4 linked regions of the Caenorhabditis elegans genome follow. The protein of the gene in region 3 interacts with the protein of the main gene of each other region in a pairwise test. Each region holds a gene or a part of one and is shown on either strand. Other genes may lie near its edges.

What was found.
Region 1: the proteins of nhr-47 (region 3) and egl-43 interact in a two-hybrid assay, tested with the Caenorhabditis elegans proteins (one large-scale study listed by BioGRID).
Region 2: the proteins of nhr-47 (region 3) and nhr-43 interact in a two-hybrid assay, tested with the Caenorhabditis elegans proteins (one large-scale study listed by BioGRID).
Region 4: the proteins of nhr-47 (region 3) and taf-12 interact in a two-hybrid assay, tested with the Caenorhabditis elegans proteins (one large-scale study listed by BioGRID).

What each region holds. Positions count from the first base shown.
Region 1 is NC_003280.10:9,952,662-9,959,319, reverse strand, and holds the start of egl-43 (Zinc finger protein egl-43), read right to left. Parts: upstream 4,136-6,658; 5' UTR 4,135-4,135; coding exon 4,015-4,134; intron 2,310-4,014; exon of another isoform or gene 2,308-2,309; coding exon 2,206-2,307; intron 2,151-2,205; coding exon 2,020-2,150; exon of another isoform or gene 1,973-2,019; intron 733-1,972; coding exon 571-732; intron 1-570. UniProt on the Caenorhabditis elegans protein: Probable transcription factor, required for migration of the hermaphrodite-specific motor neurons (HSNs) from the tail to the gonad primordium during HSN cell differentiation. Required for phasmid neuron development.
Region 2 is NC_003282.8:11,897,104-11,904,148, reverse strand, and holds nhr-43 (Nuclear hormone receptor family member nhr-43), read right to left. Parts: upstream 4,490-7,045; 5' UTR 4,421-4,489; coding exon 4,362-4,420; intron 3,827-4,361; coding exon 3,697-3,826; intron 3,249-3,696; coding exon 3,155-3,248; intron 3,087-3,154; coding exon 3,015-3,086; intron 2,907-3,014; exon of another isoform or gene 2,776-2,906; intron 2,634-2,775; coding exon 2,384-2,633; intron 2,333-2,383; coding exon 1,928-2,332; intron 1,880-1,927; coding exon 1,612-1,879; intron 1,562-1,611; coding exon 1,490-1,561; 3' UTR 1,239-1,489; downstream 1-1,238. UniProt on the Caenorhabditis elegans protein: Ligand-activated transcription factor. Positively modulates expression of homeobox protein lin-39, perhaps by binding to the sequence motif 5'-TGAC-3' in regulatory regions of the lin-39 gene, acting in the embryo, and also in the vulval lineage.
Region 3 is NC_003283.11:5,502,903-5,511,692, reverse strand, and holds nhr-47 (Nuclear hormone receptor family member nhr-47), read right to left. Parts: upstream 6,441-8,790; 5' UTR 6,241-6,440; coding exon 6,219-6,240; intron 6,176-6,218; coding exon 6,078-6,175; intron 5,935-6,077; coding exon 5,817-5,934; intron 5,078-5,816; coding exon 4,899-5,077; intron 4,850-4,898; coding exon 4,700-4,849; intron 4,005-4,699; coding exon 3,876-4,004; intron 3,826-3,875; coding exon 3,518-3,825; intron 3,474-3,517; coding exon 3,290-3,473; intron 3,242-3,289; coding exon 3,153-3,241; intron 2,374-3,152; coding exon 2,088-2,373; intron 2,035-2,087; coding exon 1,858-2,034; 3' UTR 1,737-1,857; downstream 1-1,736. Other genes in the region: hpo-15 (Amine oxidase domain-containing protein), read left to right, coding at 1-146, 650-1,434, 1,484-1,658; dnj-19 (DNaJ domain (prokaryotic heat shock protein)), read left to right, coding at 6,848-7,648, 7,707-7,798, 7,847-8,084, 8,267-8,455; T05C3.2 (NACHT domain-containing protein), read right to left, coding at 8,683-8,790. UniProt on the Caenorhabditis elegans protein: Orphan nuclear receptor.
Region 4 is NC_003281.10:11,862,331-11,871,863, forward strand, and holds taf-12 (Transcription initiation factor TFIID subunit 12), read right to left. Parts: upstream 6,952-9,533; 5' UTR 6,945-6,951; coding exon 6,849-6,944; intron 6,526-6,848; coding exon 6,393-6,525; intron 3,877-6,392; coding exon 3,695-3,876; intron 3,391-3,694; coding exon 3,295-3,390; intron 2,803-3,294; coding exon 2,617-2,802; intron 1,273-2,616; coding exon 1,069-1,272; intron 281-1,068; coding exon 149-280; 3' UTR 63-148; downstream 1-62. Other genes in the region: Y56A3A.6 (WH2 domain-containing protein), read right to left, coding at 9,074-9,533. UniProt on the Caenorhabditis elegans protein: Part of the general transcription factor complex TFIID. Plays a role in recruiting taf-4 to the nucleus and thereby activating transcription initiation by RNA polymerase II, as part of the TFIID complex.

The sequences.
Region 1 (6,658 bases), on a different chromosome or scaffold from region 3:
TAAATAAAAACTTCAATTGTAATGCACTGAACTTTCAACTCCGCTCAAGTTTTGGTCGTTACTTATCTTAAAATTTTCTTGTTGGCTGTAAGAATCCTAATTAACTTTGCCCGGTTTCCATACATCTCTATTATAAAAACCAAAATTCTATAAAAGGACTCTGTAAACGGGTTCTCATATCTTAGGAAATGCAAGACAAAGAAAATATATATTATGAAGAAGCCACTTCTCCAGAATATCTTCATTTCCTCCCTGGATCCAATTTCCTGAGTCTCTGGAGCACTGGTTTCAAGCATTCTACCTGAGCATAGAAGAGCTTCTCCTTCCACTTCTTCAAGAGGAAGGCGGGAAAATGATGAGCAAATAGAGGGCTCCGTGTCTCTATGCCACAAATGATCCTCCCTCTAATGGAATAGAGAAGGGTGACTACGGTATGAAAACATACAAACAGAGACGCATAAATAGACAAAACACTTTCAAACACCTGCTAAAATACAACAGTTGAGAGAGTGCATTAGCATGATATACCTTGCCAATAACTTTTCCGACTTTTTTTTTCAACGAACTCACCTTGCACTTGAAAAACTCTTTGGACAAACTCCACACTTGTGTGATCCGTCGGGAGGCGTTTGACCAGGTACAAGTTCGCCGTGTTCTCGAATATACTCCTCGAAACCGTTTAGATTGCTGTCTTCACTGCTGCTCTTTGTGCAGCTTTGAGTACTGTCCGGCCTGAAAATGGTTGATTTTCGAAAGGTTAAAAAACAGTGCCTCAAAAAATATAATACGTTTTTAATACTATCATATAGCAAAACCGTATAACACAATTAGTTTGGCTACTCGCTTTTTAAGTTAGGCAGTTTTGGAATCTTGGATGTTATTGGCTTTATCAAAAAATGTAAACACGCATGAAGTTATGTTTTTTTGAATATTCCGTAGTTTCAATTTTTGTTCTTAAAATTTACAGAACTCTTTTTTAATGTGGTGAATAATGAAAGTTCATGACTAAAATAAAAATATGTTTTCATTTTAATTTTTAGCTTTTTCATAAACTTGATAGTTGAATTTTGTGTTATTCTTTCTAGTGTAAAGTGCAATGTCTAGATAGTTTGATACGAATAACGATTTAGAAAAATCTATTAAATATTAAAATTAACCCAAACTTTTCAAATCTAATCGGGCAAGTTCAAGGTCTAACGTAAAAATTGAAACCTAAACTTTTGGGATACCAAGGAATCATCGTCTAAAAATTTAAGAAACATAGAAAAGATGGTAATAACACAAATTAAGTTAGCGATATAAAGATTTCGGAAAAAAAGATAAAAATTTATATTTTCCGCAAAAAAAACGATTGATTCTCAAAAAAGATGCAAAATCTAGATCCGCTTCCTTCCCCCGATGCACACCCCTCAAAATAAATCAACGATTTCCTTTGAGGGGCTCAAATACCCAAAAAAGGGCTCCTCCGGAAACCGACACGAATTTGTCATCCAGAAGCGGTAGAATCTATATGTAAATGAACGGGACACAAAAAAAGCGGGCGGGCTTCACTTGGAGATGCTGAAGGATGTGCTCTTATCGGAAATCCGTTACTTTCACCGCGCCAGTGAAAACTATCGAGAAAACGACGGGAGTTAGAAAGTAGGACGATGAGAAGAAAATGACAGAAGATTTTCATGAAGATTCACATCTTTCTTCCGTTACTTTTCCGTTAGAAATCGAGATTTATTTTCGAATATTCGCCTGTGTAAGACCGACAAAACCGGTTTGAAATTTTTTAACGCTGATCTCAACAACTCAAAAATTAAAGGTATACTCAATCTGCTTTTTAGAAATTGTTTTATGTGTAATTCAAACATCCTTCTATGTATAGCAACACAGAACTTCAAATCATAGAAAAAATTCCGGAAAATTACAGTTTTTGCAACTTGTTCAGTTATCGTTCCAATTTCAAAGGTGAGAAAAATCATACCTTTTTAGCATGCTCTTTTTCTTGTTTCTTTCAAGGGTCATACTCACCGATCTTCATCTTTTAACAAAATTAAATTCTCAAGATCATCCTGATCCTCCTCATCACACTCCTCTTCGGACAGTCTTTGTAGAAGAAGACGCTCTCCAATATTGATAATCTTACTGGTTTGTAGAAAAGTCTGAAATTTTTCTTATAGTTAGATAACTTCCTCATTAAATTTATCTAATAATCACCTTTCTATCCTCCTGCCTCATACAAATATTGGCATCTTCTCCGTCATCAGCTTCCTTAATCAGGTTCAAGATGAGAAGAGCATTCGAATCATTCGGTGTAGCCTAAAATAATAATATTTATAAAATTAATGTAAGTGATTGTTTTTAGTACTTTTTCTAAATGATGAGTGTAGAATCTAGGATCTACATAAATCGTAGTAAAAAAATGTATGCCTGCCTGAAAGGTGACCTTCGACGGCCTCGTGATAACATGGATTAAAGAAACGATTGGCACGCTGGGTAGGTTTCTCTATGACCGCTTGTAAGACAACGGTGATGTCTCTTCGGACTTAATTTTACAAAAAATGGACACGAATAGTTATAAAAAATTAAAGTTTCAAGAATCCCTGTATTTGGCGATGCGTTCTTCAAAACTGCATATCCAAATTTTAAGTTTTCACTTCATTTGATATATTGCGGACTGGAAAAAGATGACGTCACGCGCGTCACACCGTGTGACACCAGTTACAAGACTGCATTATTTTTCCTGCAATCTCTGTATATTTTCCCACAGATCTTCGCAGAAACAGTTTAGTACCTCAACAAGGGTTTTGTTGGGCGTACTGGGTTTCCTCCCTCAATTATTTCACAAATCGCACACATTCTAAACTCATTCTCGAAAAAATCTTATTTCATTTCGGCCAACTCACCACTCTCTGTGCTCCGTGAGCTTCAGCCCAAAAACCCATCAATATCTAATAAGAAGAAGCAGGAGCTGTCGCTCTCTCTATCGCTTCTGGAATCTAATTTTCCCACTGTGAGAGCAGGTGGTTTGCCTTCACCAAGCAACCATAAGCAATCAGTGGCTCTCTCGCAAAAGATGATGAACTTTTTCTTCAGTGGCTTCTGATTCTGAGTGACTGCCGCTTGATGTGGTGTGCGTGCGTGATAAGCCAATCAGTGTGAGAGACCCGTCGCCGGCTCTAGATGATAAACAACTGGGGGAAATACACTAATTCAATGATGGAATTGTGACGAAGTTGGATAACGACGACAGCTACAGTAGGAAATTGACGGCTTGATCAACGGATTCAATCCCTCTCCTTTATTGATAGAGCTCCTCAAATTCTTCTTCCTATGGAAACCTAGCAATTATCCATTTTCCCATCAGCGACTGTATTCATCAATTACAGTCGATCATCGAGTCTCTTTTCCCATCTCGGATCCCCCATCCACCAAGGCACCAGGTGTTCCGATTTGTAAATCCTAATGTAATGGTTACTAGTGTGCCCCCAAGGTTAACAAAGTGGTAATGGACGGGGGGAGCGGGAAAGGTGGAAAGACAGGTGTAAGGAATTTTTGAGGAGAAGAAGCAGGGAGGAACACATGGCGCCAAACATTTCAGGGTCCCGATAATTGCGGTTTTGGGTTCTGGGAAGAATTTGTAATTCGAACGTTGAATCATTAGGAAAGGATTTGAAAATGTTGGCGAAGGTACTGTAGATTAGGTAGATTAGGCACCAAGGTATCAATTTAAAATGCTTGTAAAAATATTTTAAAAAAAGTTTTGTTAATTTAAAAAAGTCATTATTTTATCAATTACAACCTAAAATTACTGTTATCATATAACTACTAACTAACAAAATATGAGTGTAACATCTGAAAGCTTATTTCATAGGTTACTCAAGCTATAAGATATTTCAGTTCAAGCGACCTGTATTTTTTCCGGTGGAGTTTTTTAGACGCCCGGGAATAAGCTTATACTTCTTTTTCTAGCGGACACCTCTAAGACAATGTCTACGGCGTAAAAATTGTACACCAAAAGCTCACCTTATCAATCACACCGATGGTCCTTCCGAGTGCAATTTGAGTTACTGCAATGAGCACATTTCCATGTAGCTCATCCTCCTTTACCTCAACACTCGTGAGGAAGTCTGTGTCGATGCTCATCCTGAAAACTTAGGAAACTGTACGTGGGAAGAAACAAGAACTGTACAAATTACAAGAACAGTTTTGGGGCGAAAGATGAGTAATACATCTTGTGAACGAGAACAATGCAACGAAAAAGTTGGATATGGCTGTTCAAGGCTGGCTTTGTCATTGAGAACGAACAGGGAGGAGGAATGGTACGGTAGATGTACGAATTTGGGATAGGAGTTAGGAGTAAGCTGAGAGATATTGGAGGGAGGTGTAGTTTGGGAAGAGATTATTATTTTATTGAATTTTTTAGTAGATGGTGAAAAAGTTTACAAGCCCAATTCATTTGGTAGATGAACTGTAGGAAATTCGTTTGAGATTTTTCATGACAAATTTGCTAGTCAGTTTTAAAATCAAGAAATTCTTAATTTAGAGATTATTTTTTGAGGGTTCTACACCACCACAATGTAGGATACAATTTTATTGAAAAATTGACATATGAGAAGATTGCTCTTCAAAATTTGACATTCTATATTTGATCCAAAAACTCGAATGTCTCTCCAGAAGTCATATATAGTAAAAACGTCAAGATACTTTAAGGATACTTCAACTAACCAGAAAAAAAAGAAAGGAAGATGGAAAGAGGCGCCTTCCATTTGTGGATGCGAGAGGAGCGAGAGCCTCTCCTGTCTCAAAAAGTGGGCGGGTGGAAGAGATGGAAGACGACACGCCCATCAGCCAATCGGTAGAGTGACAGGATGCTTCAGGTGAGGAGCATCTTCACTTGAAAAGTTGCAAGTTTCGAAAACCCCACGTTACTAAAGACTATTTTAATATAGAAAATTCTTAAAGTAGAATAGCAATTTTTATTTACTTTCTAACATATGTACTTCGATACTTAGAAAAATAAACAAAAGTGAAAATATCTACACCTACTAAATTAGAATCTATTGAGCATTTCTAGTAGAAGCCAAGCCGTTTATTTGTCGGCTGAATGTCTGTAATAAGTTTCCTGATATCATGAGGTGAAAGCAGAAGACAAACGTTTTTTCCAGGAGTAGGCTATCGCGAGACTCCATCGAGGTCGGCTGCGAGTTTACCGAACTGCTCAATAATCAAAGACCAACTTAAAAACTATAACAACTATTGACTTAGTTTGAATTTTTGGAAGTAAATTGCTGGACGGAAAATACAACAGGGTGTAGCAGTTTGCCGCAGCTTTGAAATTATACATTTGAGGACAGTCTAGAACCATCCAAAAAATCAGTGACCCCAGAGTTTCCAGTAAAAGCGAGCAAATGGGAGCTATTTTAAAGTAGAGGTGTGCCCCTCCACCAATTGTGGTCTTCTTCTGACGGATGTGCTGCGCTTTTCTTCTTCATGGTCCTCATCTTTTTGGAAGAAGGGACGGGACAAAATTGCCGCTTCTTTTCTTCTATTCTTTCCGTTTTTCTTCTCCTCATAGCTCCAGGTGAGCGCACCGAGAAGAGCTTTTATATAGGAGTAATAAAAGGTGGGCTCGTCCATTCTACAGAAAAATAGAAGAATGGAAAAGTTGTGAGGAAAATGGAAAAAAAGTTAGAGACATTCAAGTGATACAGTATTAAAAGTGTCATAAGTGTAGAAAGAAAACGGTCACATTTTGAAATGAAGAATTGTTGAACAAGAGTAAAATATTTCGAAAACCTTGAAAATTTAAAGTTATGGTGCTCATCACTTGACACATGATGTGCCATTAGAACTGATAATAATGATATGATAACAAAAAATGGAACTTTTTTTCTGAATCGGAGGCAAAAAAAACCTCGCGTAAGTGACAATTTCCCATCGAATGAGTGTTATCAGATAGTTTGGAAATTTTGTGAAGACGATTTTTCCAGAGAATTTTCCAAAAGGTAGGCTGCCTACTGTCTATTCTTTTGAATTTTAACGTGAAGTTCGGTGCTTGAAGTTCACAAAGTTACGCTTACCGTATTTTCCTTATTAGACGTGCACCCCCATCACCATATTTTGGCGGTTATTTTTTTAACTACTAAAATATAGTAATTTTGCATGTTTTTTGTTAGTTGACAATTTTTAAAGAAAACCAAAGACAACAGAGCTATTTGAAGTGGAAATAGATCTATATATTTGGTGGTATGCACACGCGAAGGCGGCATTTTTAAGCCTATTAATAGTAAAATCTAGAGGGTAGCAAAAAGGTAGGATGACGCATCAGATGACATTATTTACTGCCATCTACCCAAACCTAAAAGTCTCGAAGTCACTTTCACACTTGAAAGCATTTAGACGTCCATTTTACGGAGATTTTAAAGAGGCACCCAGTCGCTGCTCCGGAAGAAGAGGAAGAAGCAAAAGAGAGGCGTGGTTGCGAACCGATGGGAAAGGTAATGATGAGCTCAGTTGAGCATGAATATGAAGGAAAACGATGTAGAAAAAAGAAGAAGAAGAAGAAGCTGTGCTTTTCCCATGTGTGTCTGTCTCTGTAGTGGCAATCTGGATGGTGTAGGCTAACACAGAGGAGGAGCAGGTTTTGCTGCTCTCAGGCACTTGGAGT
Region 2 (7,045 bases), on a different chromosome or scaffold from region 3:
CTAATAGAACATTATTGAACTTTATTAGTAACAGTATTTGTTTAAACTATTAATGTTTCTCTCGGCAAAGTAACACTGCTCTAATATTTATTTTCGTCCATTATTCCACTAATAAATGTCCTATGAGATTCCCTAAAAAGTCTTGAACACATTTGCATAAATAAGGCAAATCACCATCAAGCTTGAAGAAGCGATATTGATCTTGGACAACAAAACCCTCGCATCCCGCTCCTCCATGTAACGATCCGGGACACGGTAGGCGCATATTTGTCAGAAAAAAGATCTGAAAAGGAGATATGGTGCGCATGAAAAGTTCGTAACGGCCTTGACACGTGTGTTTGAACTGGAGAGTTTTCTGAAGTACAATTTATTTCAATGGGTCTCACCACGAATACTGCTGTTTTGGTACATTTTTCATAATATAATATCATTCTTCATATAATAATATCATAGTTTGGTGTAGGGAGAGCAGCCAAAACTTCAGAGCGAAGACAAGATATTTCAAATTTTAGCAAATTCTGGATTTTTCTTAATTTTCTTTTAAACTCGATTTCAAATCGTGATAGCTTTTTGTATTGCTTTGTATAGATTTTTTCTCGCCTACATAGATTTATTTTTGATATTCACAGTTTGAACCAATTTCGCTCAGAATACAAAAACGCTTTAAGAAACGGGAAGAAGAAGCTAATCGCAATATGAAACGCGTTCATTCAGCTACTCCATGTTACGATCCTGGACAACTTAGAAATTCGTTTTGGAGAGATTGAGCGGAGATATAAATTTGGAGATATTTTGCAGAGTGGTGCAATACAATAAGGATAGATCTACAAGCAACTGTGAGCCGCGACGAAAGTTTGTTGTAATGATAACTACAGTAGGGCATACATCACTATTTTATAATAGGCCGCCTGAGTTGTTTCCGCGCCTGCCTATCACATTGAAAGCAGGTAGGCCTACGTAAAAATATAGTATTTTATATTGAATGATAAGAGCGACAGTTTGCTATTGATGTTGATCCAAAGTTCACAGGTCATACAAGAATCAAAAATGTATTTCCAATTAATCAAATGAATCATAACAGGTGATTATTTCTTATCAATGTTCACAAAATTTTTTTCTTGTTTTGTTAAAAAGGCTTGTGATGCAAAAATGTACCGATCATCCACGTCATTCGGCAATGTTTCATCATTGTGTTCTACATTAAAAACCAGCCACTGATCTGCAGGATTAAACAACATCAAATTTCGTTGTTTATTATGAGGTAAGGAAATATAGTGAACAATACGGTACAATATTAAAGATCAGCTATGGCAATCAGAACGCGATCACAATTTTTTGATAGAGATAGTCATTTGGAAGGATGAAAATGTTCAAAAGCTTCGAGTTTAAACTGATAGTGAAAGCAAATTTGAGAATTTGAAAACTGAAGAAAGTATTTACAGGATATTAAAAGGGGATTCGGGAGGATAGAAACCTTAGGGAAACAAAATTAGATTGAGTACAAGTAGGCGTTGAGATCGGAAAATAGGATATTCTTGATGGTGGAGGACATATCGGCATTCTGAAAATTGTGAGCTTTAAAATCAAATATTCGAATTTAAATTTAATTACCTGAACTTCTGTATGAAGACACATCATTTCTCCCATTCTACTTGAATACTTGTCGATTTTCAAGCCATCACAATACAAATAATGTAGATCATCGAAAAGAGCATCACGAACTTGCTCGGCGCGATCTTCGGAAACACAGCCGCGATGATTGCGAGGAGCCCAGATGTTGAGAGCCAAAAGGGTAATGAATTCGAATTCTTTGATGATCAATTTGTGCATTGGCTCGAGAACCAAGTTTCTTGCTTTAGTTAGAAGATTCTCCAAACGACTGGAAAATGTTTAATTGGGAATATGAAACAAATTCAAAGAAACTTACGCTTCAACTGCTTGAATATCAGATTCATTCAATCCAGTGGTATTTCCAAGCCAGTATCTAACATTTTTCGAGTCGATGTAAGTAGTTTGAGTGCACATCATCAAAGTCTCGTATTCAGGTTGAACTGGCATATTACGGTAGGTCCAGTAGCAGGACTCGATTTCCCAGAGAACTGGATAAAACATAGCACAAATTCTCTTTTGCTCCTGGACATCACACTCGGCATATTCGTCGAAAGTGTTTTTGAGGAAAATATGGAGAAGCCCGAATTGTTTTTGGTAGATTTCTGAGATGATTTCACGAGTTGCTGGAACAATTGGAATGCCAGTTGATCCGAATACTTTGGAATCTTGTTGCATGTGCTTGAGAGAAAGCTCGACGTCTAGGCGGGATTTGGTGAATTCACTGAAAAAACGAAAATTATAAATTTGAATTGTGGAATTCCAATAAACTCACTTATAGTTGATAAGTACTTTGTTAATGAGAGATGCCCTTGTTGTGTAGATATTTGGATTTCCAATTGTTGGAATTGGGCGGTGCACAGAAAATGATATTTGTTGTTGGAATTGTTCAATTGGATGGGATACATCCATATCTTCACATGATTTACCCTCTGAGCCAGTATCCGATTCTTCATCTTCCTTTTTAACTGATTCGTCTCTTGATGTTGTCTTGACATGGTCGGGTGATCGTCGGCCAACTACTGCTGAAATATTTACAATTTCACATGTTATTCTCATGACCTCTATTACTATTACAACAACTTCCTCCCCCTTCGCTGGGTGGAAACTGTGACCAACAATCATATTTTGTCTGTTTCACTGATGCAACGATGAACATATTCGTTCTTCGGAAAGACCAGAATGATTGCGGGTAGCAGCATCACACATCCACTGATATTCTCTTTATGTGTCTATCTCTCGCGCTTGTTTTAATGAACTCATTCCGTGCTGGATTGTTTCTAGCGCGCAGCGAATCATGAATGTTAAAACCGATTTCCAGTTTGGATTGAATTGGCGTGATGTTAGATGCTGATTTGGAGACAATGCATATTTCAATTTAATCAACAATTTTTATATTTACTCACCATCAACATTAAGACCAACAAGAAGACACCTCATCCATCGGCACTTTTGGCATGTGGTTTTTCGAGACACTGCTAGAAAAATAATGGTTTGTCACTGATCTATATTTGCCAAGGAAAGGGGTTACTCTAGAAATACTCACTGTTAAGTTCACATTTGTTGGTTCCACGTCTACAGACGAATGTCTTCTTGACAGCTACACTTCGTCGGAAGAATGCGGCACATGCTCGGCAAATCTGAAAATCAATAGATGTTCATCTTGTCAAGCGAGAAGCAGGGAAAAGCTTCACAACGAAATATCTTTGGATAGGCTTGGAAAACCGGTATTCAGAGAAATCGGCTTGAAATCTCGAGCGAGAAATGAATTTGAACTGGATTGATCGAACTTTAAAATTAAGTTATTTTTAGGATTCACTTGATAAGGATATAGATAAGAAAAACGGCCATGACTATTTCTGGCAACCCCTCACATTTCCAAATTATCTTAAAATCTGTCTATAACTGTTTTATCTAAAGTTGATGACCTAGAAAACTTTGTGGCTATCACAAACAATCTAGGCATTACCCAATAACAAGTCTTTTTCGGAAAAGATGAATATCTGATGATCAGCACCAAATTTTCTCGACCCTCCGCTTAGGTTTTTCCTCTCTAACCTATTCTCCTCGTGTTCCTCACTAACTTACATCAATTCCGAAGTGCTGCGAACCGTCGTATCGTCTCTCGCAAACTCGGCAATGAATGTTCGATGGGTCGGCAACGGTCGGACTAGACGATGATGATGGAAGCGACAAAGGAGACGTCGCCGGGTGTCCGCTTAAAGATTTCAGATTACAACATTAATTGATTTTATGAAAAAAAAAAGGTCTTGGTCATTGTGGTGGATATCGCCTAGCCAGGAAGTTACACTTCAAATCAGTGGTGCGCGACAAATGCCGTTTGCCATTTCTTATCGTTTTTTTATAGAAATATACAGAATTATTTGTATTCTATGAAAACAACTTTACATTCAAGTAAAAGTTTCAAGAAGCTGTTTAAAAACTGCCTCAAATATCAATATGCTGATCGGCACATATCTTACGACTCTGAAGAAGTTTTCGAGCAACTTTTCAAAACTTTTTATTGAATTTTAAGTTATTTTCAAAAAGTACAGATATTTCTGTATTTTTAATATAAATTTCCAACAAAAACCGTTGCCACAACTATGAGAAAACGGGGATTTTGTAAATGTGCCGCACGTCACTGCTTCAAATGAATAAATGCAAAATGGTACTTGAAGCAATTTAAAAAATTTGATGAATTTTTATATTTGAAAATTTATTTGATATTTCATATTTTCAGGAGAACTTACATCATGACTGTCTGGAGTGGAACAGTTGGATCAAAGTGAAGAAATGGGCCGCTAATCATTACACAGGAAACAGGCGGGTGCACCGATTCAGAAGGAATGAAGAGGAGATATTGAGGAGAAGGAGTACTGTAATCTTTGGCTTGTAAGGAACAATGACGTCATCGATGGGTTTCGAGAACGCCGATCTCTGTATGATTCGGCGAGGAAGTGAGGAGAAATGAAGAGAGAGAGAGAGAGAGAGAGAGAGAGAGATGATACAGTGGAAACTATCTCATATCAGCACTTATCACCACAACTTGTGTGGTTTCGATGATCGGAAAAAGAAGAAAGGAGAAAAATAAATTTTATATCAAATTATGCAAGTTTGTACAAGCCTTGTGTGCCACCAACGTTGCAACTGACACTGGAGGCGGAATAAAAGGAGGCGGAGCGCGCGGTGGGTGGGATTATATCGGATGGAGAGGGCGGGAGACGGGGACAGAAGACGTCACAAGCATGGGAATCAAATATTTGTAGTGAGAAGTCAACACAATTTGAGATGCGGATCAAAATCTCTGCGCGCCTCGGCGCATCGAACAGTCGATTGCAGAAAAAAGAACGAAGTCTCTGGCCTTGCCACGTCATGTGATAGTAGTAGGAAAATAATAAGACTACGTACAGTTGCAATTTGACAGGCTGGAAGAATCAGTGTAATCATTAAGATGGATCTGGTGGTTAAAATAAATTACAAATAGAAAATAAAATCCCAAATGTTCTACTTTGAGTCTTTGACAACATATGTATACCTCGGTTTTCTTTGATTTTATCAAAATTTTGTCAACTGACAAATACGTGCAAAATATTTCTTGGGAAATTTATGAAAGTAAAAGTAGATTCTCAATGTTCTAGCACACTATACATACCACTTTTTGTGGACCCGATGAACAAAACTTGCAAATCGCCCAATTCCAATTGTCAATGAATATGTAGCCTCCTCAAACTGGGAGGTCTATGACTTATCATCAAAAAATTCCCGTTTTCACTTTCATATATAGGATCTCTGATAAAATTTCGTGATAAGAAAATAAATAAAAACTATCGTACTGATTGATGACCACGGACTACCTATTTTAATTGTTTCAGACTATATATACTTTACTATTCTACAATTAGTAATATTCAGTGAAAGACTATTTTTTAAATTGATTATAACTGTAAGACTATTGCTTTTTTACAAGTAAATTTGAATTTTTAAGTAGAAATAATATCAAAACTGCACATCTTGCTCACAAGTACTTTACTTTGAGAGCATATATTTCAGTTAATTTCAAAGATACCAGAAATTAGTTAACTACAAACGTATCGAAAAATAAATGAAAAATATTTTGCTAGTTGACAACTTTTTGATAAAACAAACTACAATTGAGATATACGCTGACGAAGCTAGGCAGTTTTGTGACAGGCTAAAAGGGGGCAAAATGTACTGAATAATGCAAACAATGTTGTAAAATGCGAAAGTTTGGTTATGAATTTTTTAAATGTTCGAATTTTTCCGGTGGGCGTGCAATTGCCGAATCCCAAAATGCCGAAAATGCCGGAATTATCGAAAATCGATCTCCCGTTAAATTGTAGACTTTGATTTTTTTGAAGGGAGTCAGAGTGTTTTGGGAAAAAACTAGGTTTATTAAAAATGCGTCGTTTTAGAATTATATTATAGATGAAAAAATAAACAAAAAAAATCAAAAAAATTCCTGGCACATTTTGAACTTCTCTACAGTTTGCACTATAAAACAGTTTAACCCCGTCAATTGTATCGGGCACAAATCAGAACAATTCAATGATAGTGAACAACGAGAGACAATGCATCATTTAATGATTTGTTTCATAGAACATTTCATTCCAGTTTTCGCTCATGTTACCCACTTTTTATCATGTGGTAGTCTCATGAACAAGGGTAGACATGGGTTACGGTGTGAGGAACTACAGTATTGGATAATGATGTCAGTATGTTAAAGGAGGAAAACAAAAACAAAAGTAGTTTTCTTTACTTAAAAATTATGATTCATTCTTAGAAGCATAACCAGTAGCGAGGAGAGGCTTTGCAGAACAAGAAAACTCTTTTTTTTCCTGTTGAAAAACAAACACGGATTACGGTAGATTTAATGAGTCTGTTGCTATCAAAGACGTGGATGATTTATCAATCATCAGAAACAAAACGAAGTTGTTTTATATAGATGAATGAGAAATAACGTTGTTTCGGTGAACTATAGAGAATACACCGAGAGACGTAGCAATCTATTGGAAGACCAGAATGATAGTTAAATATGCACGTGAAAACAACAAACTAGACACCGATAACCTAAAGAGGTGGCGTACTCGACAAAATGATATCAGACCAGTGAAACATTTTTTGATTGGGTTTGCATGTTTTCAGTTTTCTAAAGCTGAAATCAATTATGAAAAAAAAAGCTGAAATCAAAATAAAGCTGAAATCATATTATTCGCTAGCAAACCGGATGCCTGTGTTGCTTAGGTATTACATTTTATTAAATCCAAAAATGCATCTTCTATCTTAACTTATCTTTTAACTTGAGTTATTTATCGACTTTCATAGTAGATATTGACTGGGCATGCCATCAGGCACACATGTCTACCTTATGCCTGCCTAACTAAAATTCTGGCTTTAGACGTACTCAGGTTGGTTT
Region 3 (8,790 bases):
ACACTTTCAAAGAAATCTTCACTTTGGATTACATGCATTTCTTGAAGAGCCAGAATTTTACGGATCAACAGACAAATGTCTTTGATTCGCTGGCAAGATCATTCAGATCGTATTGGGAATTCGAGTGGGCGGCTGATTGGAGTACTGTAAGTGATTACTTGAATATCAATTATGGGGACGCAGAAAAAACGTTCCGCCTTTCAAACGTTGGGTCTCGTTAGGTAGCAAACTCGTGAACTTATAGTCAGAAAGTTTTAAAGTATATTTCCGTTTTTTTGGTTAGGTTCTTCATCGTTTTTGATAACTTTTTGGGCTCGAAATTATGTTTTAAAAATGAAATGCATTTGAAGTTTAAATGTGAATAAGGTTTTTAATTTTAATTTTTTCGACAAAAATTTCGACATCAAAATAATTTAAGACATCAAAACCGGAAAATGCTTGGAGAAATTGGCGAAAGCAATTGAAGGCTTTTGAATTGAGCCAATCCTTAACGAGACCCAACCTTTTTGGGCGGAGCATTTTAATTTAGTCGTGGAGCGCGGTTGCATCCTGATTTCAAAAGACGCGTTTCTACGTTTCCGTAATATACTGGCAGGTGATTGGGACAATTTTTGAATTTTTGAAATTTTTTGAAAATTGTCTATTCCAGCTGAGTGTTCACGTTCTAAAAGAGTGGAATGACTATGGACCGGAATGTGAATCATTTGCCACTAACAAAATTGGATTCAAAGCGATTTTGGACGATATTGCCGCACCGATTCCAAGAAAGGCATTCAATTTCAATAGTCGAGTTGAAAATATCAATCTGGATTCAAACACTGGAAAAATCAAATTGACAGTTTCCGATCGTGCAGTTCCAACGGAATATGACTATATTATTGTGACTTCTTCGTTAGGAGTTCTCAAGAAATATCATCATAAAATGTTCACACCACCCTTGCCACGACAGAAAATTGAAGCCATCGAGAAAATCGGATTCGGAGGATCTTGCAAGGTGTTCTTCGAATGGGAAACTCCATTTTGGTCGAACAACACCTACTCCATCGCTCCTCTCCCTGTTAAGGGAATGATTAGAGATAAACTGGATGCATTTGAAGATGAGACTACGATCCTTCAAGTTGTCGACTGGGCTCCGAACGTTCTGAGTGCATGGTATGCTGGTAGAGGTCATCAGTTGGTGGATAACATGTCGGAGGAAGAGTTGAAGCAAAGAATTACAAAACTGATGCGAGACATGTACAACGACAAAAGTATTCCCGAGCCTAGCAAGATTATCAGAACTCAGCTGACCAAGAACGAGTTGCTTCTAGGATCCTATTCCTACATGACTCAAGTGCAAGCGCTCTCCCATATTTCTCACTCTCAACTTGCGATTCCAGTGAAACTGGAAGGAAGACCAAAGGTTCTGTTTGCCGGTGAAGCAACTCATCACAGGTATACTATTTCAGAGATAAGAGAAAAAAGTCTAAACAATCAATTTCAGACTATTCCAAACAACCATCGGAGGTTATTTGAGTGGTCGCAGAGAAGCTGATCGAGCTGTCAATGACTGGTTTGGAAGATGGAATCAGACCACAAAATTGGAAGTAGTGGATGAAACATTGATCAATGATCAGAGAAACATCCCAATCATTTCACAACCAATAACTTCTATTTAAAAATAAGATTAATCAGATACCTTGAGGATTTAACTCAGTTTTTTTATTAAATTTTCGATATTTTCTAATAACGTTGAGTATCAATAAACATTCTTTATTTGGTTTTATCTAGGCAATTTATACTGATGGAATCCTGAGTATGATATTAATGAGATCAAAAAATATGTAGATTCAATGATTTGAAGTTAATCCTCAATCCTCAATCCTCTTGAGATGGAAACGTGAGACATCCTCCTGCACCACCACCAATTCCCATTCGTTGTTGAACATTTGAAGGTCTCGGACCGAGCGATGTTTCCTTCACTAGAGAATTAATTTCATGCATTTGAAGCATATCCAGCACTTGCAATGATTCATTCTTTTTTGCAGCGGCTCTCTGAAATATTTATAGAATTTTTTAATCAGACAGATCGAAAGTTCAACGCGTACCCGAATCGATGGCATTCGAAGAATAATTGAAGCGTATCTCTCGCTTGCCGCTTGCGGATTATAAGCCTTTTGCAAATGACGAAAGAGCACTGCAAGTAGTTTCTTCTGTTCTGCTACAACATTTCTTTGTGATGCCGAATCGAGTCCTTCGGTGTCTGGATCGAAGAACATGATTGCTTGAAGTAGAGCGAATTCTGTCGTGGAGAAGTTCAACTGGCGGAATGGTTTCATTACAAGATCGATCATCATTGTGAGGACTGGTGTTATTCCAGAAAGACTCGAATTGCTGAAAATCAAAATTTAATTGAAGTTAAACATGGAATATCGTCAGTAGGGCAATAGTTTGAAACTACATTTTCATCTCTTACCTCTGAAAAATTTTAATTTACAGTCAAAGTGTTGTAATTTTGGAAGTCGACCAAAAATAATTTTTTTCTTCGAGTTTTATACTTTAATTTTGTATTGATTGTACATAACACTCTGGAGGTCCGAACTTGCATCAATTCTCGAAATTGCACAAAAGCTCTAAGCTGTACATTGTTGAAATTTGGCAATTTGCCAAAAGTTGAACAAAACATAAACCCAAAACTTAAAATTGAGAAAAATCTAAGATCGTTTTTAAATTGTTTAATTAAGGTATTTTGTCATGTTGGACTATATATAATAAGTGTAATTAGACTAGGTCCCCACTGACCATACCTTCCAAAATTAACAAAATGCCTAGGCGTCTACTAGGCACATTAAGCCTGCCACCGATTTTTCTCATAATTCCTTGGTAACGTCAGATACATCAACTATAAGAATATAGTCTAAATACACATTTATCATGACTGAATATCACAATAAAACACTTTAAAAATTTTGAAAGCTTTCAAAAGTGACAGCTAAGCTTTTGGTAAGTTAGAATGTTCTAAGGTGAATATTTGAAACATAATTTAAATGTAAAAATCATAGACACAATTTTAGGTTGACTTTTGCAAAAATGGCTCTATAGATTACGGTTTTGTGTTTCATTATTTTATAAATTTCAAACTAGATTGTTTTTCAAAAAAATAAAGAACCCACTTTGCACTTGGAGACTGAAAGTTTCTCGATTCCAACATTGAAACAGTTTTCATAGATCGTTCATTCAAGTTGCAGGAGGATGGACGACCCTGTTTAAGAAAAATTAACTTTATGTACTTGAAAAAAAAAAATTTTACCACACAAAAGTCTCGAGCTTCAAAGAAATTGTGCATATCTGATTTTCCTTCGTGTCCAGCTGTTGGATGACCGTAATCTTGAGGGATCCACGAAGCATAGTCTGCTGGAAGGTTGCCATATTCAGTTGGAAGTTGAATCATTCCTTCTGTCGATGGAACTTCTAGTGGTTCTTTCTTTATTTCTCTGAAAAAATATAAATTGAGACTTATGGGTTTGAATATCTATACCGAATTGGAAGATTCAAAAGTATTTTATCATCAGAAGAATTCTCTCCAAACATGATCCCTTTGTTGATAGACTGCTGGATACATGCCGCATGAAGCAAGTTTGTCAAATCATCGTGTACATCTTCCCCATTGCTCACTAAGCTTCCAGCCACCGATGAAACCCTGCTACATCCGGATCCGGAGTTTGATGTCACGATATTTGGAAGATCCGGTCTCTTACGAACAACATCCGATTTCATGTGCTCTGGAGTGCGGAAAGCTTCACACATGATCATGAAAGAAGATGCATGATTAGTTACCATGGCAACCTGAAAAAGTGGATGATGGAAGAGGTAGAGGAGAATGTTTAGATACTTACTTTGTCAGCGTACGGTAGGGATCTAAAAGTGGAAAATGTCTTCGCCCAATCTATGTATAGAGCTATCAAACGTTGCCTCCAGAATGGCAATTTATCATCTCGATTTGTGAGAACTACATTGTCTGACCACTGAAATAAGTTGTAAGTATTGTGGAAATTTGGAAATAGATCTAAAAAAAGTCAGAAAGCGGTGAAAACTAAGTTTGCGGCACTTTTCAAGAAATCTAATGCACTGTCGCATATTTGAGCATCTACAATGTTGGAAGATGAATATTTTAAATATATTTTAAACATAAAATTGGAATTTTTTTGATTGACGAATTCCAAAAAATTGGGAAAATAATTTTTTGTAAAGTTTTAAAATAAATCGAATTTGGAACTAAAATTAAAAAGTAAATTTTAATAAACTTCGGCGTATTTTTGTACCAAAAAAAGTGAATTTTCCAATTTTGAAAAAATCCCAATCATTCGTTCAGTCTTATTTTTATAATAGTAGATTTCATGAAAATTTTAAAATTTTTAGCTCAAGCTGTTAGACGTGATTTTATACATTTTTCATATTACAAAAATTTAAATACTTATGCAAATTTTTAACAGTATATGACCATTGGGGTTCTGAATTTAATTCATTTATAATAGACCAATATGACCAAATTTTCTGGATTTTTTGAAATTTTCAGTCAAGTTTTGGTAAAATGCCAAAATTTTCAGAAACATTTGAAATTTTTTGGTCGACTTTCAAAATTAAAAGAAACTATTTTAATGCACATAAACAATACCAAACATCTATTGACGCTACTTTATAAATCATTTCTTCAACTCACTTCACAAGAAATAGGTTGCATAAATCGACTTGGAGCATTGAGAGCATCTTCTAACGTTGCATAGGAATGCAAATCGGCGCATCTACTCAAAAGTAGTGTGAAGTTATTTTCCAACGTTGTAAGCCTATCAGCAATTGGATCCAGACAATTCTGAAATTATGCATTGCATTGTTTTTGGAAATTTCTATTTAAAAGTTACCAAATCAATTTTAATATCCTTCATATCCATACTCTCGGGGCTCTCATCATTCATTTGTGGACTTCCTGAAGATCCATCTCTGATATGTTCTGAATGATGAACACCTCCTTCCATATCATTGTCATCATGTCTTCTTTTTCGTTTTGTGTATCCAATTCTATCACGGTCGTTTTGAATTGCTGAATAGATTCAGATTTTAAAAAAAATTAAATTGAAATATAATTGTATATTGTTCTATGAAATTTTGTAACTTCTAGATTGATGAGAAACTGGAAAAATTTCAAAATTGGTTTTCAAAATTTGTAATTTTATCTAGAGCCTCTTAATTAACGGCTCTTAAAAAATTGTTCTCCTTATTTAAACTCAAAAATACGGTGACCCTGGTCTCGACGCGACAGTTTTTTGATCAATGCGAAAAGGTGTGCGCCTTTGAAGAGTACTGTAGTTTGAACTCGCTATTGTGGAATTTTCATTGATTTTGAATAGTTTTTCTCACAAATTTATGTGTTTTTAATATTTTTACCAATTGCAAAATTATATTTTTCATAGAAAATCGGAGAAAAATTGATAAAAATTCATCAGCAAAGTTTAAAGCTACAGTACTCTTTAAAGGCGCATATATTTTTATATTTATCAAACATTTATCGTGCCGAGACCGGCAGAGAGGGAAAATTCGCCAAATTTCGCGTCTGAATAATACTTTTTTATTCTATAATTGATCTAATTGTAAGAAAAATATATATTTCAACAGAAAAGTGTTTTCTAATTTTTTCAATTTAATATTTATTTATACATATTCGGCCGTGGAAAATGGCAGGTGATTTTTTATTTATTTCGGGTTGCTTCTACGGCTTTACTAATCGATGTACCATGTACCCTAGGATCCTTCCATAATCTCAAAGTATACCAAAAACTTACAATTCTTATCCATTCCAACGGCCAAACATTTTTGAAGTCGACAATAACGACACGCGCATCGAACTCCTTTGTTAACTGGACAATCTTTATTCCCTTGACACACGAATTCTCGGTTATTCTAAAAAAAGGGTGATGTTTGATGCTTGTTAAATTGATCTTACAACATTTTGTGATTAGATATCAATTTGAAACATTTTAATTGAGAGAAAAATCAATATTTTCAGATTCATTTCAACTAGGTCTATTCTTATTTAAATTTACCACAAGAGCCCGACGAAAAAAAGTTTTGCATCCATTGCATGAAGCAACGCTGTAATGTTTGCCAGTTGCAATGTCGTCACAGACTGCGCATAGTGTACCTGATAATATTATGTGAAAAATGTCCAAAAACAGAACCCCAACCTGGTGGCAACTTTTCACTCATAATTTTAAAGTTTATGGATTATTTAGAATTTATGAATATTTTAAATATAGCTTGTAATAGTAGCATTGGCTTTTTTATTAGTTAGAATGCAGTATTTATATAGATTGTAGTTGTGTGCGTGCTAAGATTATTGGAGTATTGGTGTTGTCACGTCTTCAGTCTCTCTGCCGTGCGCTCACGAGAATGGGGCAAGCGAAGTTGCGGCTGACGCGTTATTGGATGCTGGCGCGTTTCGCGACCAGCGTTGGTTTTATCGAGAATTTTCTCTGCAGTACAAAGTCCCAAATTCGGTGGTTTTTTATCGATTTGACGCGCGTTTGCTCAATTTCTCGATTTTCCGCGTTTTTTATTCAGTTCTCATTAATTAACGTTCGATGCTTGTTCACAAAATTCAGTTTTTGTTTTCACTTGCTCGTTGGTGTCGTTCGTTGTGTAAGAAAATTGATTTCTAAATATTTTGTTTAAATTGCTAAAAAATAATTCAATAATTTACATTATTGAATTATTAAAAGTTGTATTTTTCAAACATCTCGCGCATTCTCCGTCCGTTTCTCTCAATTTTTCACTGTCATGTCCGCATTTTAATATTCATTTTTTTTCAGGTAATATGTTTGGAGGTGGAAGTAGTGGTCCCGTGGACACCACTTTATACACAACACTCAATGTGAGACCAGACGCTTCGCAGGCCGACATTAAGAAATCTTACTTCAAACTTGCTAAAGAATACCATCCAGATAAAAACCCGGACCATGGAGATAAATTCAAAGAGATCAGTTTTGCCTATGAAGTTCTTTCGAGCCCTGAAAAACGACGCTTGTATGACGCCAGAGGTTTGGAAGGAGTTCAAGGAGGAGGAGCTGGTGGTGGTGGAGGAGGCTTTCCTGGAGGTCTGTTCTCTCACTTCTTCGGCGGTGCTGGCGGTGATGACGATGACGACGATGATGATATGGGTGGTCATCCATTTGGTGGCTTGTTCGGTGGAATGGGTGGAATGGGACGAGGTGGCCCACGTCGGCGGAAATTCCAAGATACTGTTCATCCCCTCAATGTTACACTCGAAGAGCTTTACGTCGGAAAAACATCAAAGCTGAAGCTTTCCAAAAAGGCACTCTGTAAAACTTGCGAAGGGTCAGGTGGAAAGAAGGGAGAAAAATATAAGTGTGATGCATGCCGTGGTCGTGGAGTGAAGACGATCGTTCAGCAAATTGGCCCCGGAATGCTCCAACAAATGCAGGTTCACTGTGATGCTTGTAAGGGTTCTGGAGGCAAAGTTCCAGCAGGTGATAAGTGCAAAGGATGCCATGGAGAAAAGTACGAAAACGTTTCGAAAATATTGGAGGTTCACGTTCTTCCTGGCATGAAACATAACGATAAAATTACATTCAAAGGAGATGGAGACCAATCTGACGTAAGTGCATGTGAAGATAATTGATTTAAAAAAATTTCTAAATAAAAATATCTTTTAGCCAGATGGTGAGCCAGGAGATGTTGTCATTGTTATTCAACAGAAAGATCATGATATTTTCAAGAGAGATGGAGATGATCTTCACATGACCAAGTAATAACTTTTTATCGATTTTTAAAAATTAAGTTTTACTGTTTTCAGGAAACTATCACTGAATGAGGCACTTTGCGGCTATAATTTCCTTATCAAACATCTTGATGGCCATCCTTTGGTTCTTTCTAGTAAACAAGGAGATGTTATCAAGCCAGGAGTCATCAGAGGAGTTCTTGGAAAAGGAATGCCAAATAAGAAATACCCAGAACTCAAAGGAAACTTGTTCGTTGAATTTGAAGTCGAATTTCCAAAGGAGCATTTCCTCGATGATGAAAAAGCTTATGCCGTAAGTATTTTTATTAAAGATTTATTGTTCTTAATGTATTGTTCGAACTGTTTTTTAAGGTTTTGTTTCATTTACTGACTTTATTTCCGTTTTAAAAAAGCAACAAAAATTTATGTTTATAAATTGATTAGAATAGGATTTGTATGTTACGTTTTATTTATCTAAAATTTTCTTTATTCCAGGTTCTGAAAAGCTGCTTCCCTACCTCAAAAGTTGTCAATGTCACCCCAGCTGCCGCAGAAGTTTCTCTTATGGAATATGACGAGAAGAAGTACAGCCGAGGACGTGGCGGAGACGCTTACAATGAAGATTCGGACGAAGAACAACACGGAGGACATCACGGACAAGGCGTCAGATGCCAACACCAATAGTCAAGTTTTATTCCAGTTTATCATTAAAATTGTTACCCTTCCCCCACCACCATCTCCTTCTCATCCCACCCCCACTTGAAAGAATCTCCATTTCACTATCCTTTTTTCTGTGGATATCATCATTCGCAATTGTTTGCAATTCAATTCATTTAGTATAAGAGCTCTGCAAATCAGGACGAACTCAAAATAAAGACAAATTTTTACGAGCAAAATTTTTAAAAAACATTTCACATTATACTGCACACATGTGACTTCTTTGTAACCCCTCCTCCTTTTTTGTTATCCAATAGAGATTTGAAGCGGGTAACCGCGGCGGTGACGGCTCCCAGATTTCT
Region 4 (9,533 bases), on a different chromosome or scaffold from region 3:
GTATTACTCAAGGACTTGAAACCTTTTAAAAACCAAAAAAATGAAGAAAAAAAATTTGTCATAAAAAGAGGAAATTCATCGTGGAAGACCCGGAGAAAAGGAGGTTTTTGAATGGAAAATTAAAATTAAAACAAAAAAAAATTAATTTTTAAAGTTTCTTGATTTGTTTCTTGAGTAGAGCAACCCGTTGCTTGTGTGCTTCCGTTGGAACAAACTTTTCCTTCGATAAATCAATAACTTCCGTTTGAGACCCAAAATTGTGCGAAGCAGCGCGTGGAACCTGAAATTTAACAATTTTTTCTGATTTTTTAGATTAAAAATCGAGCCAAAACACCTAATTTTAGCTGAAAAACTCGAATTTTGTCTCACATTTTTTGCACATTTTTTGAACATTTTTTGTACATTTTTTGCACATTTTTTGAACATTTTTTGCACATTTTTTGAACATTTTTTGAACATTTTTTGTACATTTTTTGCACATTTTTTGAACATTTTTTGCACATTTTTTGCACATTTTTTGCGCATTTTTTGCACATTTTTTGCACATTTTTTTGCATATTTATTGCACATTTTTGCACAGTTATTGCACATTTTTGCACATTTTTTTGCATATTTTTGATAAATCCATATATCCTAACACTTTTTTTTTCTTCTTTTTCCGATTTTACAAGGTTTTTCGGAGAAAAAAAAATTTCTAATGAATATTTCAATATTTTCTAGACATTTTTTCTCTGAAAAACACTAAAAATCGAAAAAAAAACCCGATTTTCTGTATTTTTCAGGTAAAATTTTTAATACTGGAGAATCGAAAAACGGTAAAAAAGTAGATATTTCAGCTAAAATTAAGCGTTTTTTTTTTACGAAATCCGGTTTTTTAAAGCTATTTTGTGATGAAAATTTTTATCAACAAAAAAAAGAAGATTTTTTTTCCAAAAAAATAGTCAAAAATTAGAGATTTTAGCTAAAACTAGGCGTTTTTTTCTAATTTTTTTTTCACGAAATCCGTATTTTCTAGACCATTTTAAATATCAAAAAAAAACATAAAAATCAGTAATAAAAACGCCGTACCACTGGCATATTATAGACATTCTTGAGAATAAATTCGATATCCCGTGATTCAATTTTCTTCACCTCCCGATTCTTGATCATTTTGCATGCTTTATCGATTAGAGAACTGACAAAATCGTCGGCGTACTCCACAAGAACATCTTTTACATTTTCTTCGAGTACTGTTGTTGAGCTGATTTGTTGCATCAAATCATCCAGTTTTGACTGAAAAAAAAATTTTAAAAAAAAGAAGATTTTTTAAAATAAGAATTTTCGGTTTTTTCAGTGAAAATCAAAAAATCGGAAAAAAAAATTTTATAGAGTTTTTGAAAAAAAAAAACTACGAAAATTTTAGGCTATTTTTTTTTTTTTTTTTATTAATTGTTATAATTTTCGATTTTTTTGTTTGAAAATCTTGAAAATCGAAAATTTAAAATTTTTTAATTAGAAAATTAAACAAAAACTCTTAATTTTACAAGAATTTTTACAAGAAAAATTACCAAAAATTTAGGCATTTTTTTCAGTGAAAATTTAAAAATCGAATTTTTAATAGCAAATTTACAAAAAATTCCATTTTTAATTTCATTATTTTTTCAGGAGCAAAGCAAAAACTAGTGTATGCAGAAGTTCGAATTTTTTTCAAAGTTCAAAAAAAAATTTAAAAATTGTATTGAAAAATTGGAAATTTTCGTTTTTCGTTTAAAAAAAATCGAATTTTCAATAAATTCCGGCCATTTTTCAATACTTTATAGAAAAAAAAAATCACTTTTTTCAATAAAAATCAGCATATTTTTTGATAAATCTATAGCTTTTTCGTCCCCTTCCGTGAATTCTTTGTGCATTTTTTTTCCTATTTTCTCTGAAAAAAAAGACCGAAAAATCTGAAATTTGCTCATTTTCTATGAAAAGACAATCCAAAAAATTTTTTTTTTGCGAATTTTTGCTAGAGAAATTTGTAATTGAAAAAAAAACTAAAAAATCAGAAAATTTTTTAAATTTTCCTGAAAAAACCTGAATTTTTTTCGATTTTCTTTGAAAAAAAATCGGAAAATCTGAGCTTTATTCGATTTTTTCTGAAAAAATTTCAAAATTAAATAAAAATCAATTTTCCAAGTATTTTTGCCGGTTTTTTTGCCGAAATTTCCAAGTATTTTTGCCGGTTTTTTTGCCTAAATTTCCAAGTATTTTTGCCGGCTTTTTTGCCGAAATTTCCAAGTATTTTTGCCGATTTTTTTGCCGGAATTTCCAAGTATTTTTGCCGGTTTTTTTGCCGAAATTTCCAAGTATTTTTGCCGGTTTTTTTGCCTAAATTTCCAAGTATTTTTGCCGGTTTTTTTGCCGAAATTTCCAAGTATTTTTGCCGGTTTTTTTGCCGAAATTTCCAAGTATTTTTGCCGGTTTTTTTGCCTAAATTTCCAAGTATTTTTGCCGGTTTTTTTGCCGAAATTTCCAAGTATTTTTGCCGGTTTTTTTGCCTAAATTTCCAAGTATTTTTGCCGAAATTTTCAAGTATTTTTGCCGGTTTTTTTGCCGAAATTTCTAAGTATTTTTGCCGGTTTTTTGTTGCACCTTTTCCATAATACTTCCATACGGAACAGCGGCCGGTATCATTTGAGGTGGCGGTGCCTGTTGCTGTTGTGGCTGTGGAATTGGAGGCTGTTGAATTTGTTGAGATGGTGGTGGCTGCTGATGTTGCTGCTGATGTTGTACTTGCATAATTTGTTGAGGAGGCAGCGGCATTGGAGACGAGTTTGGCTGGAAATTTTGAAAAATTTTGCCCAAAACTAATGGTTTTTATAGTTTTTCCATTAAATCGGGCTCTTTTTGAGCTCCAAAAAATATTACGCCACGACAAATTTGGCGAATTTGCCGGTTTTTTACGAGCTCGATCGGTAAACGTTGCCTTTTTAGTTCCGGCAATTTGCCGATATGCCGGAAATTTTAATTCCGGCAATTTGCGGGAAAATTGAATTCCGACATTTTGCCGATTTTGTCGGAAATTTCAATTCCGGCAATTTGCCGATTTGCCGGAAATTTTAATTTCAGCAAATTGTCGATTTTGTCGGAAATTTCAATTCCGGCAATTTGCCGATTTTGTCGGAAATTTCAATTCCGGAAATTTGCCGATTTGCCGGAAATTTTAATTCCGGCAATTTACCGGTTTTGCCGGAAATTTCAATTCCGGCAATTTGCCGATTTGCCGGAAATTTCAATTCCGGCAATTTGCCGATTTTGCCGGAAACTCACCACAAATTGTGGTGGTCCACCACCTCCTTGCTGCTGCATCATATGTTGTGGCGGAGGCCCTCCGACCATTCCCATTAAATGTCCAGATGGTCCTGGCTGGAAACATTTTAAAATTAGAGGATTTTTAAGCGGATTTCCAAAAATAACTGCAGAAAAAGTCTTAAAAATGCCCAAAATATGCGAAAAAAAAATTTTTTTTTTGAAGAAATTATACAAGCCTTGAAATTTTCACCGCTGCTCCGCTGCTCCACTGCAGAAATTGTTTTGTAACATTTTTTAGAACAATTTTTCAGAGATTTTTGATCCCGTGGACCCAAATTCCCGAAAAAAGGTTTTTCTTGGGTCTCAAACGGAAGCTTTTTTTAAATTCAAATTTCCCAGATAATAACCGCCCCCGTACCCCTTGAGCCATGCCCATCTGCATTGGTCTCTGTTGCATTTGCATTGATTGCCCATTCGGTGTGAATTGTTGGGGCTGCTGCTGTTGTGGAATACCCATTTGTTGAAAGTGTTGCTGCTGCTGCTGCTGTGGTGGTGGAGGGCCCGCACGCATTTGTGGTGATGGGTATGGCATTTGGCGGACTAAAATTACGAATTATTTCATGAGAAGCCTTATTAAAGAGACGGTGTAGTCACCGAAAATATGAAGATTTTCGCTAGAATTAGGCGATTTTCGGAAATTCAGCATAATTGGAACATCGTCCAATCAGCGTACCGCTCCGCCCACTTCTGGACCAATCAGACGGAGTGGGCGGGGTTTGAAGATGCTGATTGGTAGGAAAATACTCGAAAATTGGTAAATTAAATATTTTAAAAAAGCGATTTTTAAAATGGAATTCTTTGAATTTTTTAAAAGCGATATCTACATTTACCCAAAGCCGCCTTAAATTACACCTAAATTAACGAAAAACGTGAAATAAATATGCAAATTAGGATGAAAATTGAATAAAAATCAATTTCTAGCCACCCTGGCACCGAAAAAATGGAGATTTTAGGCGATTTTCGGAATGTCTGGTAGATCATGGTGTGATCTGCAAAAAATGCGGGAATTTTTGGCCCAAAAAATGTGACGTCAGCACGTTCTTAACCATGCAAAATCAGTTGAGAACTCTGCCGCATTTTTTGTAGATCAACGTAGATCAAGCCGAAATGAGACACTCTGACACAATGTGTGGTTAGGAAATTTGAAAATTCAGCAAAATTAAAACAGCGACCAATCAGCGACCGGCTCCGCCCACTTTTGGACCAATCAGACGGAGTGGGCGGAGAGCTAATTTTAGTAAAATTTGAAAATCACGATTTTTTTTCCGTTTTTTTTGTGGTTTTTCTGAATTTGAAACTATTTTTTTTGGATATTTTTAAAGGTGGTGTAGTCGAATGTTTTTATTTGCTTTATTAGACTCAAAATTGTCTGAAAACACCGAATTTCATAGTGAAACTGTTTGAAAACTTCTCAAAAAATAAGTTATGACGGTTCAAAAAATGACCTAAAATTAGTTAAAATTTGAAATTTTACCGACTAGCCAAGCGTCTGGAAACAATTTTTCGAAATCACCGTCAAATTTTAAGTATACAATTTAATTATCTTGCGTTTTCAACTTCATTTAAGTATTTTAAAGTCGATGGACGGCGAGATTTGGTTTTAAAAAATTTAAAAATCTCGTCGTCCATCGATTTTTAAATACCTTAATCAAATTTAAAACACAAGGTAATTAACTTATATACTCAAAATTTGACGGTGATTTCAAAAAAAAATGTTTCCAGCCGCTGCGACATTGATAAGTTGGTCAAATTTCAAACTTTAACTAATTTTAGGTCATTTTTTGAGCCGTCATAACTTATTTTTTGAGAAGTTTTCAAAAAGTTTCACTATGAAATTCGGTGTTTTCAGACAATTTTGAGTCTAATAAAGCAAATAAAAACATTCGACTACACCACCTTTAAAAATATCCAAAAAATAGTTTCAAATTCAGAAAAACCACAAAAAAAAACGGAAAAAAATCGTTAAAAAAATTTAAAAATCTCGCCGTCCATTGATTTTTAAATACCTAAATCAAGTTGAAAATGCAAGAAATGCACTAATTTTAGGCCATTTTTTGAGCCATCATAACTTTTTCCTGAAAAGTTTTCAAGAAGTTTCATTATTAAATTCGATGTTTTCAGACAATTTTGAGTCTAATACAGCAATAAAAAAAAAATTCAACTACACTCTCTTTAAAAATATCCAAAAATACATTAAAATTCAGAAAAACCACAAAAAAAAAAACGGAGAAAATCGCGATTACAAACTCCGCCCACTCCGTCTGATTAGTCCAAAAGTGGGCGGAGCCGGTCGCTGATTGGTCGCTGTTCCAATTTTGCTGAATTTCCGAATTTCCTAACCACACATTGTGTCAGAGTGTCTCATTTCGGCTTGATCTACGTTGATCTACAAAAAATGCGGCAGAGTTCTCAACTGATTTTGCATGGTTAAGAACATGCTGACGTCACATTTTTTTGGGCCAAAAATTCCCGCATTTTTTGTAGATCACACCATGATCTACCAGACATTCCGAAAATCGCCTAATTCTAGCGAAAATCTCCATTTTTTCGGTGCCAGGGTGGCTAGAAATTGATTTTTATTCAATTTTCATCCTAATTTGCATATTTATTTCACGTTTTTCGTTAATTTAGGTGTAATTTAAGGCGGCTTTGTGTAAATGTAGATATCGCTTTTAAAAAATTCAAAGAATTCCATTTTAAAAATCGCTTTTTTTAAATATTTAATTTACCAATTTTCGAGTATTTTCCTACCAATCAGCATCTTCAAACTCCGCCCAATCTACCTGATTGGTCGAAAAGTGGGCGGAGCGAATCGCTGATTGCTCAGGCATTTCTCATTTTGGAGGTAATTCGAAAAATCATGTTTTTCGAGTTAACTTTTTCACTTTTTCGCGATTTTTTTCTTTTTTCTTCGGAAAAAACGTAAAATAGCCGACTAAAATAGGCGGAATAGGACAAAATTGGAGATTTCAGCTAAATTTTGAGCAATTTTTTTTTCATTTTTCACGGAATTATTTCTGAATTTGAGGCATTTTTTAGGAGTTTTTTCTTCATACTTTGCTGCTGTGGCATCTGCATTCTCATCGGGCCGCCCATTCCACCCATCGGCGGTTGGCCCACAAACTGCTGCTGCTGCTGCTGTTCGTTGGGATTCTGATGGCCTTGTGGCGGAATTCCCTGCTGCATTGGCTGAAAATGTGGGTGATAGACGTGATATCCATGATGGTAGGGCCACATTTTTTAGTATTAGTAAATATATATATATATATGGACAGAGGACGACGAGAAGCTTTTGTGATGGAAATGGTTTTGTCGGGGGAAGAAGAGAAGCACAATCGATATGAGAATAATACACATACACTTTGGACGTTTACGGGGGAAAAAAAACGGAGAGGCGCTCCGATTTTTTATTATTTTTATTCGTTTTTTTTGTTTTTTTTTTGTCGGCTGGCCGGTGAGTCATTGTTGGGACAGAAAGCAATAATTAGAGAGCGGACACACAAATCGCTTACAGAATTCGTGGAGAGAGCGGCGGCGATTTGCGGGTTCGCCTGCACGATTACGTGATTATTCGGTGAAGTTGGAGGTGAGAATTCTTCCATTTTCATTTTTTATCTGCAACTAAGTTTTTTTTTGATGATTTTAAAGCTTAAAATCTTTCGGAAAACCGAGGAAAATGGAAATATATTCATAAAAATGAATAAATTCGTTAAATTCGATAAATTTTCCACAGTACCTCGGTCGTTGTGAGACCCAATGTTAAACAAAAGCATTGCGCCTTTAAAGTTATACGGTGAAACTTTTCAAGCAATTTCTATTTTTTTCCGAATTTTTAGTTGCTAATTATTATTTTTGATTAAATATTACGAGAAAAATTTTAATTTTGAAGAATTTCTTCAAATAAAGTTTAAAAAACCGAGGAAAAGTCAAAATTAATAACTGAAACTCGGTTCGCTGTGAGACCCAAACTTAAAAATAGCAATGCGCCTTTAAACTTATACGGTTGTATTTTTAGGCAATTTAAAGTGAATTTATGTTTTTTCCAGAATTATAGTTGCTAGCTATTATTAATTTTAAAACCGAGTGAAAATTTTAACTTTGAGAATTTTCTTTTAAAAAAAACCAAGGAAAAATCAAAATTAATGACTGAAACTCGGTTCGCTGTGAGACCCAAAGTTAAACAACAGCAATGCGCCTTTAAAGTGATACGGTGGCGATTTTCAAGCAATTTAAAATCAAATTGAATTTATTGGAAAAAATCAATGAAAAAGACCTAAACTAATAAATATTCAAAGTTTTATTCTCGAATTGCACATAATATTATGCGCCGAAACCTCGTAAAATTAGGCAGATTCTGATATAAGGGAAAAACGATCCGAAAAATGTAGGACATTGGGGGAATAGAGACGTAGGGGGTGGTGGCGAGAAATTGAGGCCAATGAAGAGAACGAGAGACCTCTCTAGCTCTTTTCCGTCTCTTCTCGCAACTATCTCTCTCTCTCTCTCACTAGTGTGGTTTATTAGAACCTAAATGAGCGTGGCCGTGGGAAAACCTAGGCCACGCCGTTGCGAGGAAGTGCAAGTAAACAGAAAAAAGACGACGGCGGACGTCTTATAAAAACAAACATGTCACATTTTGTTGTCCACTCTGTCATTATTTTGCGAAAGAATTGGGATCGAATTGGGAAGTACATTTTTGGGTCTCGCCGCGATTGTTTTCTTTAATTGAATATAACTGTACCATGTGATCACTGGAAATGGAAAAACATATTTTATCTAACATTGGTTGAGGAAAAGGCAATAAAAACAATTAAAATATCGAGTTATTACAGTACACCGAGGTTTAAAGGCGCATGAGGGTTTTGAAAAGTCAAAGTAAAACTGGATATTAGCGTAAAATTTTGTTCGGTCATAATCGAGTATATTCGTAAAGTTAAAAAAAAATTTGGGTGTTTGGTTTTAAAATAATGTTTTTTTGAAAATTGAGTTTTTACTAAATTTCAGCTAAAGAAAAACTTGAATTTTAGTCGAATTTTGAACGGTGGGTAATAATTTTTTGTGTTTATATTATTATTCAGACATCAGTAAGTAAATTGGTAAAGTTTGAAAAAAATTTGGGTGTTTGGTTTCGAAGAAAATAATTTTTTGAAAATTTGAATTTTTATTCATTTTCAGCTAAACTAAAACTGAAATTTCAGACAAATTTCGAACGGTGGGTATTAATTTTTTGTGTTTATATTATTATTCAAAGATCAATTAGTATATTGGTGAAGTTTTAAAAAATTTGTGTGATTGGTTTTGAATAAAATAATTTTTTTGAAAATTGGAATACATATTAATTGGGAGCTAAACTAAAACTGGAATTTCAGTCAGATTTTGAACGGTGGGTATTAATTTTTTGTGCTTATATTATTATTCAGACATCGGTTAGTATAATCGGTTAGTAGATTGGTAGTTAAAAAAAATTTGGGTGTTTGGTTTTGAAGAAAATAATTTTTTGAAATTTGTAATATGTTCATCGGCAATGGCTGGTGGCCTAGAATTTCCCAATTAGGCCATCAAATCTGAAATTAAAAAAGCACATATTCAGCTGTAAAATAATTTATTCAACGTGTTTTTCTTCACAAATCACAGAAAATATTCAAGATTAAATGGGCTAGATGTTGACAACGACGAAAATAAGATTAAAACCAGTTTCAGTTCATTTTTCTTCTTCAAACAAAAAAAAGCGTATAAATTAAGCAGATTGAGCAACACGGGCGGCCCGTAGCCTTCCAGCTTCTCGAATTTCATTCATCAACGAGTCCCTTAGGTCGGGATTCTTGGGCTGTGGAGGAGCAGCTGCCAGAGGTGGTGGAGGAGGTGGCGGAGGAGGAGTTGAGGATGGACGATTGCCGGATGCTTCCACTGATTCGACAACTTTTCCTAGGGAGATTCCAGATTTTTCAGCAGGCATGCCGACTTTCCGAAGCTTCGGACCTTTCAGCACATCCGAGATGTCAAATGAGGTGTCTACTTTTGTCGGGGCGGCTCGAGGAGCCATCGGTGCCTGCTGAACGGGTGCCGGCTTAATCGAGATTACTGTAGGTCCCACTGATCCTTTGGGGTACGGTGGTGACGTTGCAGATGTTACTGTTACCGTAGCCTTCGATGACGTGGCAGACAGAATGCCCACCTGGCTTCTTCGATTCGCCGGG